Linked DNA regions of Oryzias latipes. The protein of the gene in region 1 interacts with the protein of each later gene in a biochemical or structural test. Links are inferred from orthologs where the notes say so. Each region holds a gene or a part of one and is shown in the gene's direction. Other genes may lie near its edges. The genes, in order: eps15, ap1g1, F-BAR domain only protein 1, epsin-1 and numb.

Region 1 (4,148 bases):
CATTTTCCTGAAAACGGGGCTGCCCTCTGCCACACTCGCTCGCATTTGGTGAGTAAAAACAGGAGATGCTGATGCTGAAGCACACATCTACTAAACAAAAGCCCACATATTTGAGCTGAACATTCTGTCGCCGGAGCGTCACTTTATCGATTCTCCTCCTCACATCAGCTTCTGACCCGCTGCCACCGTTCTGCCCAGAGCAGAAATCATTTTCTGACGTCACCCTCATAACTGCGTTTTCAGGGAGCTCTGTGACATCGGAGACATCGGGAAACTGACCCGGGAACAGTTTGCCTTGGCACTTTATCTCATCAATCTGAAGCTGACCAAAGGCTTGGAGCCTCCGCAGAGTCTTTCCCAAGAAATGATCCCTCCCTCAGACAGACAAAACATCAAGCAGGTCAGCCAGTCAGGCCCTTTTCTTTCTCTTTCTTCTACTTTTCTTGATGCACGGCTTCTTAATCGGTTTTATTTAACATAACACGTTTTCTTGAATGGGTCCAGTCAGCTGGACTGAACAAAGGGGGCAAAAGTAAATTTGTTTGTGCTCATTTTCGTCTTTTTCTGGTGACAGTTTTTCATCATTAGACGTACAAATGTTTTTTTTGTCTTAGTTTGTCGTTCATCTCCGATGTCAGTTTTACTTCCTCCCACTTTTTTTCCGTTTTTGCAGTTACGTCTCATTGTTTCTTTTGAATATTTTCCATCGTTTTGTTGTAACCAGCAGTTCTCACTGCTTCTTTTCCAGAGCAATGCTGCCAACCTGGCGGCTGACTTCTCTGCCATTAAGGAGCTCGACTCTCTCAGTAACGAGATTGTAGAACTACAAAGGTAATTTTAATTTGTGCATCTATTACAAGCAAATATGAAGCCATGAGTCAAGTTGGAGAAAAGATAAAAACAAACGTCTGGCTGTAGTAAAGCAGGGGGTGGAGTTAAAGAAACAAAATATTTGTATTAGATCACGTTTATCAGTATGAACCGTAGATATACTGCAAATGTTGCAGACGGAGGTGTTAAAAACAGGACATGACTGAAGCTTTTTTAGGTTCGATCATAAAAAAAGACATTTACATTTACATGCTGTATCCCAAACTGACCAGCAGGGGTCAGTGTTTCCAGTAATCCATTTTTTTGGATTTCTGAGTTCAGTTCTGTCTGAAACCGGTATAATTAACTGTAAACATGTTAAACATTAGTTTGAGATTTATTCTGAAGATTCTCAACCACCAACAGTTACAACTTTAGTTTAAGAAAATGTCTTTACCAACACTTTTTTTTAAAGAATCTTTCATGATTAGAAAGTTCTTTGCCTATAATTGGTTGGATGCTAAAAATCCTTCAACCGTTGTTTTCCTGTTTCTCTTTCTTTATTCTAGTATCTTCCACCATTTTTTGCTGCTTATCTCCTTCTACAATTTTCATCTGTTTCAACCATTCAACTATCCAAATGTTCAGCTCTTTCAGCTTTTTCCAGCTGTGACTTTTGGTCCTTCAAATCCTTGAACTTTTCCAGATATTCCAGGATTTCTGCCTCCATTGAAATCCATGGGGAATCCTTGGTGCAGAAGCTCGCTGGTTCGATACCCGGCTCTGGCATTTTCCATAAACACATCTTTTGATATTGTGCTGTTTTGACTTTATTTATGCTCAACTTTGATCATTTCTTTCTTTATTTATATATATTTTTCCAATTATTCCCCTTTAAGTTTCATTTTCATTCAGCAATATAGCATCAACCCTGCCTTTTCCTCTGGAAATGTCTGTTGGGCTCACTGTCAGTTTCTGTTGCTAGTTTCTTCCTCACACTAAGCCAGGGGTCGGCATCCAGCGGCTCCGGAGCCGCATGCGTCTCTTTCCTCCCTGAGCTGCGGCTCTCTGTGGTTCAGGAAAATAACCGTCGTGTTCTCAGATGGTCGTGGAGCCGTTAACACAGTCAGGTAGAGCGAGAGAGCAGCGGAGGGGGCGTGTCTGCAGCTGTGAACGCCGACCACAGTCTGTTATGGGATGGAAAGACGGTCAGTGGCGATCTCGTAGGGGACACATGAGCGCCCCCAAACAATCATTTCATCCCCCTAAACTAAAACCACCCATTTCCACATGAAATGAATTAAATTTGCTATCAGGGGCCCCCCACTACCCTGTCACCGTGCTGCTACGATGGCCGTATGTTGATCTGTCTGTGTAGAACACGCTGCGGGGGCGGGGCTTATGTTTCCAGACCTACCACAAACTAACAGCTGCTTCCTAATAAAAAAATAGTTGTCATCCATAAAATTAATATAATTTATTGGGTTTACTGGATTTAAAGAAAAATAAATAGAAATGGAAACGTCTGCATCAAAGGGAATTTGTTTTGACAGACAGAAAAGTCTGTGGAAAATGGACAAAAGATCAAAGGAAATATCACGCTCATAAAGAATAAAAACTAATTAAAATAAATAATTAAATAAATATCCTGATGAACTATAGTGATATATCAGCAAAAACATGTTTTAGTGCTGCAGCTCCCTGTTCTTTCATCTCAGTGGGAAACTGATCCAAATCAGAGGTTCAGGTTTCTGACTCCTGCATTAAGCTAAAAATACGTTTTTGTTCATGAAAGCTGAAAGTGAGAAGTGAAAAAGTGGTTTCCAGCCCAGCTGCTCTTCCAAACAGATCACAGTTTATGGGTTAATAGATGCGTGGAAGACTCAGAAGATTCACCATAGATCAAACTTGACACAATGATGTCCGTTTGCTGCTGTTTCAGGTTTTGGCAGCGACTTTCTCAGCCAAAGGATTCTGGAGAATGTGATGCGACGTAGGAGCAGCAGAGGCGTGAGCTTTACTGTTCTGACAGTCAAAAATATAAATGTGAAAAACATTAGAAAGATCAAAGGAAGCCTTTGGGAAATGCTGAGGAGGCTCCATTTATTCAGAAAGGCAACCAATTTATGAGCAAAAAACACTTCAGCTGCATTAATATTTGTTAATATATTAATATATTGTTTTTAATAACTATTTTAAAAAGTTTCTAAAATGAGAATAATTCCAAACCATTTTGAAAGAATTGCCTTGACAGTTGTAGTTTGTGAACTTGAGTTTTAAAAAGGAGAAAACTAACCGAAAATTCAAACTTCTTTCAGGTTTCAGTTTCAAGGATTTTGTTTTTCTAACTTTAAAATGAAATTTGCAAGTCGTCCATGTTATCTGCAGACATTAGGAAACTTCTGAATTTCAGTTTATAAAGTTAATCAATAAAATGCAATGATTATGCTTTTTCATTTCATTTCTGGCTGCAAAAAGCGGCATTTCAAGTCAAATCTTGGGTGAAAATTTGGCTTCCTTTAAATGATCCTTCACCGTCTTCACTCCAGCTGTGGAGTTTAAGCTTTTTCTAAAACCTAAATGTGACGGCTCCAAAAACAAAGCTCCTATTCCTCTGGATTTCCTTTCAGTGCTTATTTAGAGTTCTGTTTTAAATTTCTACCTTCAGAATTGTGGATCTGTTCTCGGCTTGACGTGGCTTTAAATCATTAAATGCTGTGAAAAATGAAGAAACAGGAAAGTTTCTATTATATATATTTATAAAAAAATCCAGAATCTACCTGCTTATTTCCTTATTTCTCATTTCCTTTGAGCTAAATCTATATTTTTAATCACTTAGTTTTTTCTCTGCCTTATGTGAACTTGCCGGTTTGTGTTTGTAAAAAGGTTTGCTGTTTTTTAAAATGACTTTTCTATGTTTGTCTGGCGTGACGCTGGTCTCCATGTGGGCGATCCTCTAAAGTCTGACAGGAGCTGTAGCTCCTGAAGAAGGTCCCGAACTGCTCGTGAGCTGCAGGCCGGCTCTTCCGGACTCCAGCTTCACCCCCTTCATCACTGCTCCTCCCTCCTCCTCCTCGCTACGCGTCACGCGTTCGCTCACCTTCGCACCCCGGGAAACTGACGCCATGACCATTTCTGTTGGACTGCTTCCCGCCTGCCTCAGCTGCAGGTCTCTCTGGACCACGATGGTTCAGGGAGAGGAGGTGGTCTCCTCTCAGGGGCGGGGGGAAGGAGCCTTGCTGGGACTGGTCGGCGTACCGGGCGGGAAGCGTCTCTCTTTGCTCGCTAAGTACTCCTGTCTTTTGTGCTGGAACCCCAGGGAGAAGAGCTCTGTGGAG
Region 2 (4,681 bases), on another chromosome or scaffold:
AAAAATACGTATATATGTTTCATTTCGTATAACTACATACACACTTTATGGTTCTTATCTTATTTTGTGTGGCAAAAAAGAAAGCCCTAGTTTTTAATTCAATAATTATTGATTTCTTTTTAAATTAGCGTACTATATGTATGTTAGAAAAAACGTGAAAATTTATTGAACTCATACTTTGTTTGTTTAGTTATTTGCTTTTAATAAAACAAATACTATCATTTTTTCCATCCAGGATAAAGGCAAATTAGTCCAAAGTGTTATTTATTGATGTTTAAGTTTTAATCCCTCATATGTTGCTTTGCAAAATATGTAATTCGTCTTATTGAAGTTCAACTCCCGACACCTGTGGGAGACCCAAAAAATAACCTTAACAACAAGGACATGTTAGTCATGCATACATGTACAACCATCTTGAATAAAAAGATGTATACCGTAATTAAAATGTTTTTGCTTTAAATCACTTTTACCAACACTTAAATGTAGCATCAAAAATATAAAATGAAGCATTTATGAGAGCCAAATTCCATTTTAAATGATATTTTAATGCATATCAATTTAATCCAAATTCTCTCTTTAAATAATTGTTACATTGAATTTCAAACCTAATCTTTATTTATAAACTAAATATACTAAGTATAATTAAACCTTTGCATGGTTTTGGTCAATTGAACAAAAACAAAACAAGTCTAAATTGGTATCTCATCAAAAAATAAATTATTGTTTTAGATCAAACCTCAAGAGGATCCTCTTAAGAGGACAAGAGACACCGCTAGGTGGCGCTTTAATTTACGGTACCACTGAACTCTCACATTGCATGCAGTCGTCATCACTGTATGCCACGAGTAAACTGACCGCAGCACGCCTTCGAGACGGACAGTGTACTCATCCGCAAGGTTAAAGGATAATATTCTATCTCAACAAAAGAAACCTCGCCTTGTCATTTAACACATGTTTCATGTAAAATGTCAGACAACGCATCTCAGTGTAACCAGGAATCCAATCTCAAATAAATACGTTTCGAAACCTTTTCAAAAAGATAATCGAGAACCAGATGGTTAAAGAAAACAACAGGCTCTATTGCTAGCGCTTTATAATAACGGGAACAGACCGAGCGTGCATTGTAGAAAACTGATCAAATAGAATAATTGATTTAATATTACAAAAGACCAATAGTGACATAACGGAACTATTACCCATGGTGTCCTGTAAACAGAGCTGTATCAGGTGTAATCTCGGTCACAGTGGTGACTTCTCTGCTTCCAGCCGTTCCTGCGATGATGACAAACTTGAGCTGAACGCCTTTTACCATCCTCTGAGAGTGTAACCCTCCGCCTGCGGTAGATGTACTGAGGCTGGAGTAGCCACCATTTTGCATGTCTAGTGTGTTCCTCCCTCCATCGCTAATAGAGACGAGTCCAGTCCTTTTCTGGCGTCATTACGGCTAGTAAGTACTTTGAAACAATAACATATCGACAGAAATGTGATAAAATGTAATTTTCTTAAACAAAAAACATTACGCGTGTGTTCGTGTCTGCGTTGTTATCTCAGAGAGAGTGCCACTGCATAGGAAGTTGCAGCGCTCAGTGCGCCGGGGCAGTGCCTGTCAGTAAGCTAAGTTAGCTACCATGTAGAGCAGTGCTAGGTATCTACGGGCTTAGCTATGCAGAATTCCCAAGTGTTTTGTGAAATATTTATTGTGACAGCACCTAACGATGACTGTGTAGTTAATATTTCCACTACTGGACCACAGCTCTTGTCCTGTAACTTATACACTAGTTAACAGCGAACTGTCAGGTAGCGAGCTGACGGTAGTACAGGGGGCTAGCTAGCTAGTTTGTAATCCAAATGTTCCACGAAGGCCTAAACGCATCATGTCCTCTTCACTTGGTGAACTCAGTCAGGTGTCGTAGCTCGAGGTTAAACAAAACCACTTTTCTAATTATTTTGTATGTTCATGTTGTTAATATTAACTTCTTGCATTTTATCAAAAAGCGTGAGTAAGCGGTAAAGCCTCTGTTGTTGCTAAGGATGTCCAAACATGATCCCTTTCGAGTAAAATGGGCACTTTTTGTAAAGCTACTTTTTACTCAGTTGTTGTGCCTCGTCGTTAAGATACTTGACAGTTTGCTGGAGCTTTAGATGTGGTTTTTAAATATTTAAAAACTTTAAAATGTCGAGTCAAGTTAGCTTTTGACATCCAGGAAGCTATAGCTCACTAAAGACGTGAATTTGTTTTTATAATGTTTACAAAACAGTTGGTGTCATTGAAGCGTCTTCCTTAGTAGATTTCTGTAATGAAACATCTAATTAATTTCCATTATAGCACTTGTTGCTCAGGACTGGTTAACGTTAAGGAAGTCGAGGTATAAGTAGGAAGTGCGCTACGAGTGTGACGTTCTGCGTATCGACGTGTCTGCTGGGTTGTCTTTAGTGTTAATGTTTCTGTTGACCAGGACCAACACACCTTTCAGGAGTTCAGGGGCCTCTTGGCGTAGGTGAGGATAGGCTTACAATCATACTATAAATTAATTATTGGTTTACAATAATTGTTAATTAACATTTGGGGTTTGTTTTTCTCAACTCTTTCGTATTAAATGGTCAGTGAAAAATATTGAGTGTCTTGCCTTTTTACTTTAGGTCTGAGGCCTTAGTAACCACCAACACAAAGTATAAAAAATCCATTTTGTATTTTCAAGTTCAAAGGAAGTTTATGCATGTTAAGCAGCTTTGAATAGATGGAGTTAAAGGCCCTCTCCTGTTAAAATTGTTGGTGTTTTTAACATGTTCCCGTGGCATTGTTCTCATGATGGAGTACATATATGCATACATAGAAAATTAAGCTAAAAATAGAATTTCTGTGCATTTCTTTATTCAAATTGTTGTGAATCAAGAGCAGAAGAAAAAATGCACTTGGAAGAAGCTGTGACATAAGTCCCCTGTTCAGCTTTATTCTGATGCATCTACTTGTAGACTAATGGATCCAAATAGATTGGCATCTGGCGCAAAACTAAACAGCTGGATATCTCCGATATTGCTCGCCATTTTTGTTTCACCGTTAATGTTACGTTGGTGCTGTGAGGTACTGTACTAGGGAACCAGTGGGAGAGCACGTAAATAGATGATGGGAAGTAAGGGAAAGATTACAGCATGGCAATAGTCCCACCCACAACTCAGAGGTAATTTTCTAATGAGCAACAGATTACTAAGTAGTGAGTTAATAAGGGAAACTCCTTTAATGCTGAACTGTTTTGTTAGATGGATCAAATCTGTATATAAATGAATGGATTTGACCTTTTTAAATGCAAAGTTATCCCAATTTAATAAATGCTACTTGGCAAGTATTGAATCATTAAGATCCCAGATAAGTCCTGTTTTATTTGAGCTTTTGTTTGGGGCTGCTTCCCGATTGTTTTACTGCTCCTGTCACTAATGCAGTATTTTGTAGACTGGAAGAAGTGGCTAAAGATCTGCTGAACATATTGTGCATTTGCTTGGCTAATATAAGACTAGCAAAATAAAATGTCTGGGACCAAATGTAGTTTTGTTTAATGCAGATTTCCTCTTAACAAAGTTGCAAAGCATTATGGCCACCATTAATCCACATTATCTTGTTACTTTAGCCATTAGGACACAACTCCAATGTCCCCTCCTGTGACACACCCACATTAGCCAACTCCTCTGTTTTGCATTCAATCTGAAAGGGTTGTTCTTTTCACCCAGGGACATGGGGGTTGGTCATGCGTCTATCTTGGATTGCAATCTCCCCGAATTCATTGAAAACAAAATAAAATCCAAAATATATTTTTCATCCTGATTCTGTCCCTAAAACATGTCATGTCATGTGATTGACCATATTTCTCATCTCTAGAAGTGCTCATCCTGCAGTTTAAAATAATAAATCAGTCACTTCTTGGACAGATCTGAAAGCACAGTTTCATGAAAAGTTGAGCCACTTTTTGACAGGACACAAATAAAAACACCCAGCAGAATCTGTCGTGTGCTCTCTTAGGAATGGGGTCAGTAATTTTTTTAGGTGAAAATAATCTGCAGTGTCATGATTATTTATTAGCTCCAGCAACATGACAGCCAGGCTGATAGGATCATTTCTGCTGAGTCTGTGATTAGAACTGCAAGAGAGGCCTTCAAATAAAAAAAGGTTTTAGATTCACATAAACAAAAGTATGACCTCAACAGAAGTCTGAAATTGACAAGAGAGCAAAGTCTTCAGAGATGCCTTTTGTTTAACAGCCCACTTGAAGCTCATCCTTAGCTTTTGTGGAATTTGTTTATACTGATCCAGTTCTGTCCAGATTAACAACGCTACATTTACTTCTTAAAATTACTTCCAGTACAGCCTAAAAGATCTGTAAATACAACGGTTACAAGAGTAACCAAGAAATGGCTACCAATGATTTTTACTCTGTAGTCTCAATAATGAATTCACTGTTATCAACAATTGCAAAAATACTTTATTTATCCAGAGGGAAAGTTAGAATAACCATAAACAGAACTTTAAATCTTTAAAACTCTGTTTTAACACTTTTGTGTCAGCTTAGCCAAAAGAAGCTGTTTAAATGTCTTTTAAATTGCAGTTAAAGCCATTTTTCTCCAAGTGCATATTTCTGATATTTAGTGAAAGGTATGCTCATGGAGCAAAACTTTGAAAGGATCTTCCGAG
Region 3 (4,148 bases), about 16 Mb from region 1:
TCCAAACAGTGCCTTTTAACACAGCAGCAACTTTGCTTATTAAAACGGATCAGAACCAAGTATATAAAAATATTAAATAACAATAATATAATAATAATAAATAACCAGTATATATCTACCTTCATTTCTCCAAACCACAAGTCACTGTAATCATCTTCGCTGAAACACATGAAGTCAGGTTATTTGTCTCCATTGGTTGGTAATTTACCATCCGTGTTCTATCTGCTAAAGAAAAAGTAGCGTAGTCTATTCTTCTTTGCATTGATTTATCTATTATTATTGTTGATTCTAATTCTGGTTAGAGTGCTCCTAGTGGTGGAAAAAAAACCACACAGAATAGATGCACCTTTGTATAAGCTGCATGGTTCAAAACCTAGGATAAAAAGAGCAGCTTATAGTCCAGAAAATACGGTAATTAAAAAATATTTATCAAGGAATCTTGAAGTTTAGTCATGACAACTGGACTTAAGATATTAAATATATAAGAATATTTTAAGTCCAGTTGCCATGACTCCATGATAGCCGAGAGTCTTCAGCAACGGTTATGAAGGAGTTGAACTTGTATAAATTATTTATCAAATGCTGTTTTGTCTTTTCTAGTAGAAAATTTACATTTTAATGCTTTTTTTGTAAAAAGATTAGCTAATATTGTTAGTAATCCTAAAAATGTAAATTAATTCAACTTTGTATCACTGTTTTGATTCAGGTTTCAACCAAACGAATTCTCTCCAGTGAGTACACTTTCATCCATTGATTTGAAAACACCTGGAGCTATTTGGTGGAGCATGTTTCTTCACCTACAGTAATACTAGTTTTTTCATTCACTTCCTTCTTTGTATTTAACACAGGAAACTCGAGCAGCGCAGGGGGCCGGTCAGAAGAAACAGAGGCTGCCTCTCACAGGGGTGAGTCAGCAGTTTGATATATAACCTGAAATAAGATCCACTGACATCCCTGCTTGTCAAAATAGGACACATGTGAATGTCAGATACTCTAAGCAAAACATATAAAATGCAGCTCAAACTGGGTGTTGAAAAGCTAAACCAGCTGTTTATTTTTACTTTTTGCTTCTTTAACTTTAGATTAAAAACTTGACAAACACTAGGCCTGCACAATATACCGCAAATTTATCGTTATCGCAACATCAAGCTGTGCAATATGCATACCGCAAAAGACGGCGAAAATCGCAATAAATGGTTACCTTGACCCTTGTGCTGTCCTAGGCACTTTAACATTGGGAGTTGGGTCATCTAGACCCACTAGACAGTGCTCTGAACCTTTTTTCTTCAATGATTTGTGATCTTCACTGGTGTCCATGGATTACATGAAATCTTTCCACCTTTATCCACCTTTGTCATGGTAGGGAGAACATGTCAAAGTAAGGGGGGGTCATCTAAGATAGCACAAGGGTTAAATGTGCTAAAACAAACTCACGGCAGCTTGAAATATTGAACAAATGAAATAAATCCCTTTATGCTTTTAACCAATCGGAAGGACCCGTTTACGCTGTTGATCAATCAGATGAGCCCTTTTATGTTTGATGTTTGCCTCCTATGTCGACAAGGGTCATTTGGAGTATAATTTTTATACTGTTGCATTGAAATGGAAATTATGTTTTTGGTTGGTTTGATATTTGTTTATATACCGCAAATTATATCGTTATCGCAATATTAATCACCAATATCGCATATCGCGAGTTTTCCTCATATCGTGCAGCCCTAACAAACACAAATTCAGGTTTTTGGGTAACAGGAAAGCGTTTATCTCACCTTATAACGAACGTCAAATGACACAAAAAAGACTACAGCCAATTTGGTGAAGAAAATTTAATAGTTCAAGAGAAAAAAAAGACAACTTGTTTCACTAAATCTGTAGTATCAAGTTGGGATTTCCGATCTGATCACGTGATTTGATATTGGGCCAGATCACATAGTTTCAGACTCGATCAGTAACAGATGTTGCATCCCGATCAGGGATTGGATACCGTATTTTCCGGACTATAAGTCGCATCGGAGTATAAGTCGCACCCCTTGCCAAACTATGAAAAAAAGGGCGACTTATAGTCCGGAAAATACGGTATTTATTTTCTTATTACTGTCATCAGCGCAATATGTATATTTTTTTTTATTTAATGCAGACTTATTATTATATGGCACATAATATCGCACAAAAACAGTTCAGGAAAGTTTACAAGATATTCACAGATTCAGACGTCTGGACTTAATAAATCTTTTAAAAAACTTTTAAACCCACAATGGCATTTCAAAAGAAAATAGATTAGATTTTTCTTTGTTTTTAATGAGAACTCGCCATTACACTAATGTATTCCTGCTATAGTTAGTTACCCAAAGCCAGACTGCATTCTAACACATTTTTGGACATTGTGTGTTCTTCTAATTCATTTCTTAGCATGCCATAATTACAACTTTCTATTAAATTTGCCTTTTAATGGTTTAATGGCACAAATCTTGCAGGGCTAGATTATTGGTGCATTTCTTCCACTAAAATACAGATTACAAAGACAATTACATTACAAGAGTGTATTTAAATAATGATTGTGCTGTATAAGAAGTAGCTCAAATGTTCTGAACATCTGTCATTTTGTAGCCCGTTTTCCATGCTTTTCTCTGGACAGCAGATCTTTTTTGTGTTTTGACCTTTAGTTAACTGCTCATCTCTGTCAGTCGTACCCTCATAGTCCTGTTTTATCACCAAAGGGTTTATTAGCTGTCAGGAGGTCAGGCTGGAGTGGGAGGATTCAACCTGCTGCTGCTGCTGCTGCTCAGCAGCTCTAAGCCTGCTGCCCCTAAATCTGGAAGCAGGAGAATTAATGAGCAGCTTCTGATTAAGACGACAGGAGGTGGAGCTTAGTGGGACCAGGCTAATTGCTGCTATTTGTCACAGAGAACATGATGAGAACATTGCATGATGGGTTTTCTTTGTGTCATCCCTTCTTTGCTGTGATAAAGAACGCCATGCTGCTGATTATTCCCAGCTATTGCGCGTCCTCTGCAGTGACGGACTGCTTCTCGTCATGAGTGTGTTGTTTTCTCTACAGACGGAGAGCAGAGCGGCCTGTGCAGGTCCACTTCCAGTCCCAATCACAGCAGGTGAGATGAATCTGTGAAGCTGTCAGTCACATCCTTCTCCCTGTGTGTCTGAGCAGAGACAAATTCAGAGGTGGAGCTGTGCCATCAGAGATCTTTGTTATTATTATATAGGGATTTGAAGTTTTTTAGGTTTTCCTTTTGTGTCTTTCAGCTGTTGTCTCCTTCTCTTTTTTTATTTATTTTTATTTCCTACATTTTCAATATATATATATTTTTTAAATAACTGTTTCCGTTTGACAGACGAAAAATAAGACCGGAGAAAAGGCCAGTGGTGGTTTGATGAATGTTTTGCTCACATTGGCCAGAGCTGAAGCAGCTTTTCACAATAAAATATCAGTACGTTTTAAAATCTAAAAAATGGACAATAAATTAAAGTTATTAAACACTTCTGCAAGGTTATAAAGAATTGCATATTAGTTGTGTGTGCCATAATTGACATCCAACATACATTTTTGTGAGAGCATACAATTTTTTTTCATTTATATTGCATAAAATCTGGTTAAAATATCTAAAACTATATTGAAATCATCTGTGAAAATGAACACTAAGTGTGGCTGTTTCTCTCCACAAAGCTATATTTTTACACATGGAGAAAGAACATCTGCTGATCATGCAGGGGCTTCCCAAAATGGTCCAGCAACAAAGCATCTTCTTCATATATATTCCTCTGTCATTTATGCCCCCATTTCTCCCTGCTTCTCTATGCTTCAGCTCCTATTTGCTTTCCCTGACTGTGTCTCATTTACCCCGCCCCTCTCTGTCAGATTAAGTTCAACGGCGTCGGGTTCTGACGGCCTGTTTGGACCTCCGCTGGAGATGGCCTTCAAATCCAAAAGCTTTGATAGTCAGGAACAGCTCAGAGAGCAGAACACTTTTGGAGCTTCTGAATGTAAGAAAAATCGGTTTCCATTCATGAACCTGCACCCATTTCTCTGAAACCAAGGGTGTATTCAGACTGGACACATTTGGCTTGTTTAAAGCCAACAAGAGTTCGTTTCTCTCGATTTTCGAGGTGGTCTCGGTTCGTTTCCAGTCGGA
Region 4 (4,900 bases), on another chromosome or scaffold:
CAAGCTGTATCAATGGCCCCTCAACCTAGTGGGATTAAAGGAAGCAATATCCACATCCTTTTAGAAACATATATAACTTATGTGTTTGGTCAGCAATAAAAATGTCTTTTGCTTGTCGATTTTTATATCCATTTGAATTGTTTCCTTTCATCTTATCTATCCACCTTCACAGTACTTTTTTTTGTTCCTATCTTTACCTCCCAAAATTTTTGAAAAAAAATACTGATAGGATTCCAGTTCTGTGTGTTATTTTACACTAGCAGTGGGTCAAGTCTTTCCTAAGGCTCCCACATGTTCGACACCCCCCTCCTCTTTCCATTCAGTTCAATGGACTTCACTTAGTGCATAGTTTCGGGACTATTATTGCCACTGGTCTGGCGGCTGTGCGTTATGCAACACAAACACTGGCTGCCATCACAACGAGCGGTCACTGCTTGGATTTCTCACACCACTGTTATGCTTATCACCAGTGTGCGCTCCCGCCTTTGTACCTCCACCCTGGGGTCCGTTGGCCTCTGTTGTGACAACCCGTTTCTGCTCTCTGAAACACAGCTTTCATCTCTCCTATGAAGCTGACATCAGGAGCCAACAGCTTTAGCTCACAATACTAAGTGAAAGAAATACTCGCTCACAGGGGAGCAGCGTGTATAGAAACTAGGCTCAGATGAGGGATCTAGTAGAGCTTTCCTGACACTTACTGGGAAGTTGCATAAGGAACATCTTCTGTTACACTGTCAAATTTGCTGAAGCTTTTCACTTCTTTAACAAAAACTTTGTTGTTTTTTTTGTCCTTAAGGCACATGATGCATTCTCCTTAAAACCTATAATATAATTGTAATAAAATAAACACAAAAAAAACAACTAGTACCAAGAACTGCTATAAGAATAATAACAGAAAAAACAAGTTTAATGAGCACAAAGAAGAAACAAACAGGATGGTGACATCATCCACTGGTTTAATCAAGTAACAAGAGCTAGAATTAGTGGCATTTAGTTACTAATAGGATTTAGAATGCAAATTGTCCTCTGCATCAGTTTCCTAGTAGATTTTGAATAAGATGAAAATGTGACATAGAGAGCATGAAATGGGATGATTGAAAGTCACAATTAAACATTGTCTTTTCTGTACAACAAATAAAAATAGTGCCATCTTGTTGGTGAGTTAAAAAAAAAAGAAAAAAATAGTCTCCTAGTAAATTATGACAAAATTGCAATTTTTCTAAATAAAGGGATTAAAAAAAAATCCTGAACTAAACTTTCAACACTGTTTTCTTGTTTGGTTTTTATGGCTCCACTAACGGGCCACAGGCTTTTTGTGGCTTCGTTTAAATCAAGACATACGGTAGTCCAATGGTGCCTCTTTGTGGACAAAATCATTCATTGCATTTTTAAAAATAAACAAAATACTCACATAGTAAAAATAATCAATATATTTAAGGTGTACTCTGTTACAATTTAAAAGATATTTAAATCAATTCATTTTTTCAATTATGTAAAAATAAAAAGAAAGAAAGAAAAAAAGAAATTAACATGCACACAGACAAATAAATAATAAAGGAAGTGAAAGTTTCAACTGATGTTTCTGTTACCATTTGTCCTTGTTAGTTCTTGATTTTTATACTCTGCTTTCAGTTTCTCTGTTTGATGGATAACCAAGGTTATTATGCTTCTAAAATTTTGCAAAAATAGGCACTGCTATTTGTTAGCTATTTTTGTCTCTAATTGACTCCTCTATATTCACTCTTCTTAGTTGACCTAAATGAAGGCAGGGCTCTCGTACACGTGCACAAAACAAACAATAGAAGAAGAACATTTATTTAATCAATGGAGGACTTCGTGTTTACTTTTCTTTCCTTTGACTAAACAGCTTCAAATGCGGCATGATTTTTAATACAAGGTTTGTGCAACAAAATAAAATTTAAAAAATGCATTTTTATGTTTGTTTCTGGGCTGTTTTGAATTGTGACTGGTGTGAAAAGTATATGAATTAATCATGAGTTATACCAGCATGGCATGATGAAAACACAGCTACAGGGGGTGCGGTCTTTCCTGTAAGGAAGCACGGAAGCGGAAATTCGGCCATCTCCTCGTACATTCAAGCTGCAACAGGGTTAGTACACACTTCATTTAGGTATTTATTTATTGTTTTGTTTGCATCTCCAACAGTTTTGCCCATATGACTTTTTGATGAGTGTCTTCAACACTCCCCCGCAGCAGAACACGCGTTTTAAATGCCGCACAACAAAGCAGTCAGATGGCATTCACGAACTAGCATCAGAAGCTAGCTAGCTAACAGTTACATTCAAGGAGCAGCAAGTGATTTCTTGGTATGGGAAACTGTCAGGTAACGTTACCTTCGTGTTCACTCTGCTGAGGGTCAGCGATATGACGTGAAGATTTCTATTTGGTTTGCATTAGTTAGCCCGCTTCTTTGCTCCCGTCTTGTGGACCCAAGTTAATAGTTTACCTAGACTTTACTTAGACAAACTGTTTCGATTAGCCATATGCTAGCTAGCTAATGTTAGCCATAAAATGACAGCTACTTTTAGTTACGTGTTTTTTTTTTTGTTTTTAACTTTTGTCTCACATAAAGACTTGGCGACACCATAGTATTCTGTATAATTGCTGAATGGTGTTGTACCTATTTGGCTTCTTTAAAGGCGTTCATACGTTAAGAGTTGCATAACGTGTATTAATATTAGGTTGCTAGCCAACCTTTAGCTTGTTAACTTAATAGGTGTGACAGGCAAAATCCAATTTTGTCTGACTGGGTAACGGTTGTTGGCTTATCTACAGTTTAGTTATCTGGATGGAAACCTTTTCTTTACGGGCCTGCGCACCGTCAACTGCATGATAACACAAGAGAGGAGGAATAATTGAAAGTAAGTTGAGTTCAGTGTCAGCTCTGCTACTTGATGTTAGTTTGAATTAAATTAAAAGTTTCAATCAAGCTAATACCAGAGCTCTCACTTTTTTAATGTTAAGTTTTAAATTGTGGCCTGGATGTATTATCTTATATTAGTTCTAGCTTTACTAGCCAAGTTAGTTTTAATATTGCCAAAAATATTACGATTTTTTTTTCCCGAGATGTAACTGAGCTGAATGTTTTTTTGTTTGTTTGTTTTTATTAGTAGAACAAGTTGAACCTTCCAGCTGCTTAACTTCAGTGTCAACATATTCCAGAACCTCAACCTTACACACAAGGTGTGTTTGTACTTTGCTCAGCCATGCTGCGAGTGACAAAGGTTAAAAAATAGTTAACCACTAAATGAAATTCGCGTTTTTCAAAATTTAGATTTTGAGATTGAAGTCAAAGCTGTAAAAATAATCATAAATCAAAGTTGTCAGTAAATGTTCATAGATGAGCTTAAAATCATGAGCAAATTTAGTTTTATCAATGTTACTAGCAAGTTGAGGGAGTGGTCCTGCTATCAGCTGCTGTCATTAGAAGTTAACAAAGTGGCGGCAATCTTTATGCAGGTCAGTGTTATGTCACATAGGTGTAGTTCATGTTAGGCTTGCCAACATTTTCCTGAATAAATAACTGCACTATTCTGTTAAGTGCATGGGAAGCGTGATAGACAATATGTTCTTAAAGGTTTGGGGGGAGAATGAAGACGTGTTTTTTTTCTTTCTTATTTTAGCAAAAATAATGCAAAATTAGCTTTTTCGTCTCTCAAAATTAAAAGATTTAGGGTTAAGCTGTTGTTTTTTGTGACTTAAAATAAAACACCCTTTTACTACAAATGTTAAGTGTGTGGAGATACTGTAACATTTAGCTGCAATATTTAGTTTAGCATGCTGATGGTTTATTCATTCAAAAAAGTGGATCATGATGTTTCATAATCCACTGTTTTTAGTCAAACTGTTGGTGGACTCTGAAATTGTAATCCCTTTAGTATCACTCCATAATCAGTCATTTCCATTTAAATTTGTTTTTTTTATAAATATATTTGTTGCGTGTTCTTTACAGTTGGTATAGATGAATGAGCCTGATCTTCTCGTACCATTACTTGTATACAAATGAAAAACAATGTAGTATTGGAGTTAATTCAAGACCCTTTACATGACCACCTATTAATGAAATTATCAATTTGCTGCTTTTTGCATCACACCTCTTCATTTTTAAGAAAACTCAAATTGCATCTCTAGAAAATTTGGGGTTTGTTGCATCCATTTTGTTGTTGTTGTGGTTTTGTACCAAAAGTTGAGGTTTTAGTTGTTAGGGAAAGTACAAAAGGGAAAGGATACATCTGGTCAGCAACTATGGTTTAACCTGCTGTGCAAGCAATTGAGAACAAACGATACACAAGAGGGAATGGCCTGGGGTGAAACGGTGGGCCTCATAATATTTCACATAATCATGCATAGCATGAAGTAAAACAGATTAGGTCATGTCTGTGATTATTTTAAAAACGAAAGCACTAATAAAAACAACAGCTTACTGACCCCAGACTCCTCAGCCTTACTTTTTGGTCCTTTTGACTCATTGTAGGTTTTAACGACATTGTACCTAAACTTATGCTTTTATTAGAAAAGCTGTGTTTATAATTACAGTTTATTGTTATTATAACCATTGTTTTCTTTTGGTTTCTAGCTGTTAGTGGTGAAATAAGGGAAGTTGTTTACAGAACTTTAAGTAACAGATCTTTTTCACAACCTAATTCAATGACCTCTTGAAGTTTTAAAGGACTTGCTAGTAAGCTGCATGTGTTTCGATTCTTTTAAAAAATATGGACGCTTCCCTCTAAAGCTCATAAAGCAGCAGCAGAACACTGAGACATGCAACTCTTTGCTTTTACTCTGACACACAGCTTTTCTTTTTTTTAAATTAAACCAATTTAAGACTTGATTTGAAAAAGTGTTTACAAACTCATTTTATTTATTAACCTTTTCAGAA
Region 5 (4,669 bases), on another chromosome or scaffold:
CCTGAGCTGCGGCTCAGGTGACCTCATGGTGAGGTCACGCGGCCGAAGCTGCTGGCAGCTTTTTTCCCAGTAAACAACAACATTATAATTGCTGTTTGCTATTACTGATAATGAATCAGTAAAAGCTGATTCTCTGTGGCGACCCTGAAGGGATCTGCTGAAAGGTGAACAGCATTTTTACTTCCATTCAGGGAAAGGATCCCTTTTCTCAGTGAAAATGTGGACATTAAAGCTTTATTACTGAACAAAAATATGGGTTTTAATCCAACAACAGCCACAAATACTTCCTGTGGGGGGTCATATTTTAAGCCAGACAGTATTTATTTGAGCAAAACTTATATTTGAAAAATGAAGCTCCTCTCCCTGCGAATGCTCAGGAGCTTGTTGCTGATGTTGCTCATGTTGACCACAGGGGGGCAAAATACTTCAACATTTCACCAGGAATGCAGCCCCAGGACCTGCCAGGCCTGTTATGTGCATAAAAAGATAGAAGAGATGATTAAGAGGGTTGGCTTTCAAAGGCGTAGAGACAGTGTTAGAGGTCAGCAGTCAGAGACACAAGACAGAAGAGAAACCATCATCATAACCGGCTTTGCCGGCTGAAGCTCTGTGTGTTTGCCTTCTGATAGGAGAAAATATGCTGCTCTGCAGCTTTGTACCCATTGGAGCTATGTCAGGAATGCTGATAAACTTCTGGCCAGCTAAAGAGGCCAGTGTGTCGCTATGGGGGTAGAGGGGCGTAGGCCTGCGTGGGGCGGCTGAAGATGGTCAAATGATCAACATGATGATGGTTCAGACACGAGCTGTGCAGGAACTGTGGGAAGTTCTGCTCAAAGAAATAAATCATCGAATCAGTCAGACGCTGAAATAACGGCAGAGTGGAACATGTGTCAAATAGCTGTGCTTTCATAGTTTATGCAAAGCAAATGATTACCTTTATTTGGTCAGAGAGGGTGAAACAGGATGACACATTGTGCATTTTCCCGTTCATTGATCAAACTGGCAGAATCAAGAGTGGTGCCTTTATAGTGTTTTGTTAAACCTGAAAACCCATAAATGTTTATTTTTAATGGTTATATTTTGCATTGTTTTCACAAAAAATAGACATGATAATCAATCAGAGACAAACGAGAAAAGTAATTAATTTATAGAAGAAAATAAATACAAAAGAAACAAAAAATTTGCTAATTAAAATGAGAAAAACATTAAATCGTCTTTAGCTTTTTATGTTTTCTTTAATTTAATTAGATAAAATAAATGAATTTAAATGTTTTAACGTTCTTTTGTACTTTTTACATTTTTTATTTTGATTTTGCTAAACAGCTTACTAAAAAGTATTAATTTATTGCACAGATTAAAATTGTTCCTTCCTTTTTTAAATTAAAAGTTAAAATGTTTTAAAAATAATTTATTTACTCTAAAATCATCCTTATCTTTTTTTTGTCTTTGTGCTAAATTTCTTATTTGTCGGCAACCCCTCAGAATTTGGCCCAGTGGCCATCGATCACCGTGGACCCGCACGCGCCGGCCTATGAGCGCGCGCGGAGGCGGTCCGTTGCCAAGGGCGAGGTTTGGTTGAATCCTCGCGCTGCAGCCATTCAGCGGCGGCGGTTGGCCCGGAGGGTCTCGGTGACGGTTATTGTGGAATTTGAATTATCCGGAACGGGACGGCTCGACGGTCACAGTCGGGGCTTTAACGGGGCCACGTCTGGATCACGGAGGTGATCACAGGTGAGCGGGAAAGAAGGGTTAGCAAAAGGGGCTAAAGTAGCACTAGCCCGGCTGATGCAGTGGTGTTAGCCCGGTTCTGTGGCTCTTAGCTCGGTCTGTAATCTCTCTAATGACGCGGTGAGCGAGCAGGAGTGTTCAAACCGTCTCCGGTCTAATCTGTTACCGGGAAGAACCGAAGAAAACGGAGCCCTTTCGACGTTTTTCCTCGTCCTCTGATCACCTGGTTAACTTCCAGGTACCTGGTTTAACTTTCAGAGGTAAACGGGTGAGGTCAGAGCGCACGCGAACTGTCACGACACGTTGTTACACACGGCCCACTCGTGTAATATCACTGTCACAAGTGCGCACGCGGGTGTGGAAGTGCGAAGAAGTTCGGATGTTGGCTGTGTCACGGCTCACGTCGAAGCCTCCGCGAGCTCCGAGCTCGCGCTCTCCGAGAACGAGCCGTGACTCATCGTCCGAACGCGCAGCTTTTTTTTCCAGGTGTGATAATGGGGCCCGAGATGAGGTAATGGTATCTCCGTGAGACCGTCCGGCTGCCGGGAGTACCCCCCCCCCCCCCACTGCATCCACATCGGTACTCAGATTACTTTCCACAGGAAAAGAGGCGCGTGATTGACGGCGCGAGCCTCATGACGGACATTGGGAAGCGGGAGTCTGTCGTCGTCCCGCGAGGTCACAACTTTGTTTATGTGACGGGGGGGTCACGGTAAACAGTGATCGGGGGGGGGGGGGGGGTATGCGGAAACACTGCTGCTTTGTTTGGGATTTAAGGGGAAAGTTAAGGAGAATTGTTAACGTTACCGGGAAGAAGGTAAAGTCTAGAGTTTACAGTTCTAATATTTGACCGCATCATGCTGCTTATTTATGGCACAGTCTGTCACGTGCCGAAGTTCATGCTTTTATTATATGATCATTTATTAATTTACTTAGCATCTGGTGTTTAAATCTTGCTTTTCACGAAATAATAATTTTAATACACTTCATTTTCACACTTTTAAACTGCTAGAACAGCCATAAAGTTCCCTTATTTGTTTAGCAAAATTCAGAAATTTGCCTACTTATTTTTTTATTGCTTCTTGATTAGTAAGAAAATGTCAGTTTTATATGTTTCTCCATAAATAGGATTTTGTAAAATGCCATGAAGGATCTCATTCATCCAGCTGATGTCTTAAAGTTCAGCTGGGACGTTTGGTTCGGATGACTCAACTCTTTTTTCTTAAACTTTTTATTTGTTGTCTGACTTTAGATTAAATAAATTGATGAAAAATATCAAATAGAATTGTAACAAATCCGAATTTCCTCTAATGGAATACTTTGGACGGTAAATTGATTTTTGCAGGACAGGATCTCCTTAGAAATTCAAAAGTACTGTAGTTATTTGGATTTCCAAATGTAAAAGGCTTCGTTTGTAAAGGGTTTGTTTCTTCGGGTGCTTGGAGCTGCCCTATTTTAGGTGTATGTTTGGGTTTGAACTGGTCTTTAGAAGAAATGACAGATGCAGACAGAAAGTGCTGCTGTGTGTTGTAAAACAGAAGACATTTTATTGCAGATGATGATGATAACTGAGAGACCAAAATGATCCACATTTTCTAAGCTCACATCCTGCTGCTCATAATGAGCATGAAGGAAATTGAATGAGTTGTTGTTTTCTTTGTCTGATAAAATGACCCTACAACAACAGGAGGCACATCATTACTAAACATTTACAAGCATTAATGCCGAGTCGCTGGCCTGAGTGAATCTCATCAGAGTGAAATCTGCTGCATTTCAAAATGTCAAAGCTTTATTTAAAAACACAAGGTCACAGTGAGGAGGTCCTCTGAAGAGGCAGGTTCACATTCGGAATCAATTCAGCTCCAGTGTTTCTAATAGGCTGAAAAATGGGGGCGGGGCTTCTCTTTCCACAAGGTTGTTAAAGTAACCCATGGTCATCCCCAAGAATTAGGGGAGGGGCATTGGCAGTTTCTCACTGAAGCGCCCCCCCTGTGAATATGTCAGCAGCAGGAGGAGAAGCCCAGAAGGCCCAGTCCTCCTCTGTGGGGTGCGGTTTAGTGGGAGACATGATGTTCTCATGTAGGCACAGAGACAAATGGGATGAGGGATGGTGGGGCCAGAGGGATGGACTGTCCCCGTTTCTCCAGCATCCTCTGAGTTAGCGCCAGAGGTGGAGGTGAAGCTCTTTGATCTCTTCTCCACAACCTTTTCTCTACACATGCTTCAAGTTGCGGTTCATGGGTTCCAAAACCCCTTATCACCTTTGCATGGGGGGGTCATTTTTGTCCAATTTTTCTTGTGATGGAGGACATGTATAGAAGAAGTTAAGATTACAAGATTGGATTTCTGAATATTTCTTTATTCAAATCGTCATGGATCAGGAGCAGATAAAAACCTGCTGTTTTTTTTCAAACAGCAGGTTTTTATCTGCTGTTTGCAGCCTACCACAGCAGCAGCTGTGGTAGGCGGGGCCAAAGTCTCCCAGCTCCGCCCCCTTCTGATTCATCCACCTGCAGACAAATACATCCATGAACCTCTTTGGCTACGTTCACACCGCAGGCTGAAACGACCCAATTCTGATTTTTTTGCCCCTATGCGACCTGTATCTGATCTTTTCATGACAGTCTGAACGACACAGATCCGATCTATTCAAATGTGACCCAGGCCACTTGGGTATGTGGTTCTGAATCTGATACGTATCCGATCTTTTGAAATGCGACCTCTGTCTGACCGGCCAGGCCACATGAATCCGACCCGTACGTCATCGATACGCTACAAACGTCATCATTCTGCATTGAAGTAGGCGGGAACGGGAACATAAACATCAACCATGGCGGACGATGCTGCTGAGACCAGTCAGTGGAAGGAAGTGAGGTCACCGATTGATTCATATTTGGGGTGACAGCTCTATGCAGGCCAGACTCCAGGGCTCTTATCACAA

The links.
Region 2: the proteins of eps15 (region 1) and ap1g1 form a complex in vitro, tested with the Homo sapiens proteins (2 studies listed by BioGRID). The link is inferred for Oryzias latipes from reciprocal best matches to the Homo sapiens genes EPS15 and AP1G1.
Region 3: the proteins of eps15 (region 1) and F-BAR domain only protein 1 form a complex in vitro, tested with the Homo sapiens proteins (2 studies listed by BioGRID). The link is inferred for Oryzias latipes from reciprocal best matches to the Homo sapiens genes EPS15 and FCHO1.
Region 4: the proteins of eps15 (region 1) and epsin-1 form a complex in vitro, tested with the Homo sapiens proteins (4 studies listed by BioGRID and IntAct, with this or other methods). The link is inferred for Oryzias latipes from reciprocal best matches to the Homo sapiens genes EPS15 and EPN1.
Region 5: the proteins of eps15 (region 1) and numb form a complex in vitro, tested with the Homo sapiens proteins (2 studies listed by BioGRID and IntAct, with this or other methods). The link is inferred for Oryzias latipes from reciprocal best matches to the Homo sapiens genes EPS15 and NUMB.

Annotation. Positions count from the first base shown.
Region 1 is NC_019862.2:31,367,198-31,371,345, reverse strand, and holds part of eps15 (epidermal growth factor receptor substrate 15), read left to right. Parts: coding exon 1-48; intron 49-243; coding exon 244-400; intron 401-748; coding exon 749-831; intron 832-4,129; coding exon 4,130-4,148. UniProt on the Homo sapiens protein: Involved in cell growth regulation. May be involved in the regulation of mitogenic signals and control of cell proliferation. Involved in the internalization of ligand-inducible receptors of the receptor tyrosine kinase (RTK) type, in particular EGFR.
Region 2 is NC_019861.2:21,119,238-21,123,918, reverse strand, and holds the start of ap1g1 (AP-1 complex subunit gamma-1), read left to right. Parts: upstream 1-1,345; 5' UTR 1,346-1,447; intron 1,448-4,681. UniProt on the Homo sapiens protein: Subunit of clathrin-associated adaptor protein complex 1 that plays a role in protein sorting in the late-Golgi/trans-Golgi network (TGN) and/or endosomes.
Region 3 is NC_019862.2:14,981,864-14,986,011, reverse strand, and holds part of F-BAR domain only protein 1, read left to right. Parts: intron 1-706; coding exon 707-731; intron 732-848; coding exon 849-905; intron 906-3,058; coding exon 3,059-3,110; intron 3,111-3,874; coding exon 3,875-3,999; intron 4,000-4,148. UniProt on the Homo sapiens protein: Functions in an early step of clathrin-mediated endocytosis. Has both a membrane binding/bending activity and the ability to recruit proteins essential to the formation of functional clathrin-coated pits.
Region 4 is NC_019874.2:19,874,646-19,879,545, reverse strand, and holds the start of epsin-1, read left to right. Parts: upstream 1-1,957; 5' UTR 1,958-2,110; intron 2,111-2,117; exon of another isoform or gene 2,118-2,344; intron 2,345-2,796; 5' UTR 2,797-2,882; intron 2,883-3,131; exon of another isoform or gene 3,132-3,204; intron 3,205-4,900. UniProt on the Homo sapiens protein: Binds to membranes enriched in phosphatidylinositol 4,5-bisphosphate (PtdIns(4,5)P2). Modifies membrane curvature and facilitates the formation of clathrin-coated invaginations. Regulates receptor-mediated endocytosis.
Region 5 is NC_019880.2:1,035,305-1,039,973, forward strand, and holds the start of numb (protein numb homolog), read left to right. Parts: upstream 1-1,548; 5' UTR 1,549-1,731; intron 1,732-2,116; exon of another isoform or gene 2,117-2,239; intron 2,240-4,669. UniProt on the Homo sapiens protein: Regulates clathrin-mediated receptor endocytosis. Plays a role in the process of neurogenesis.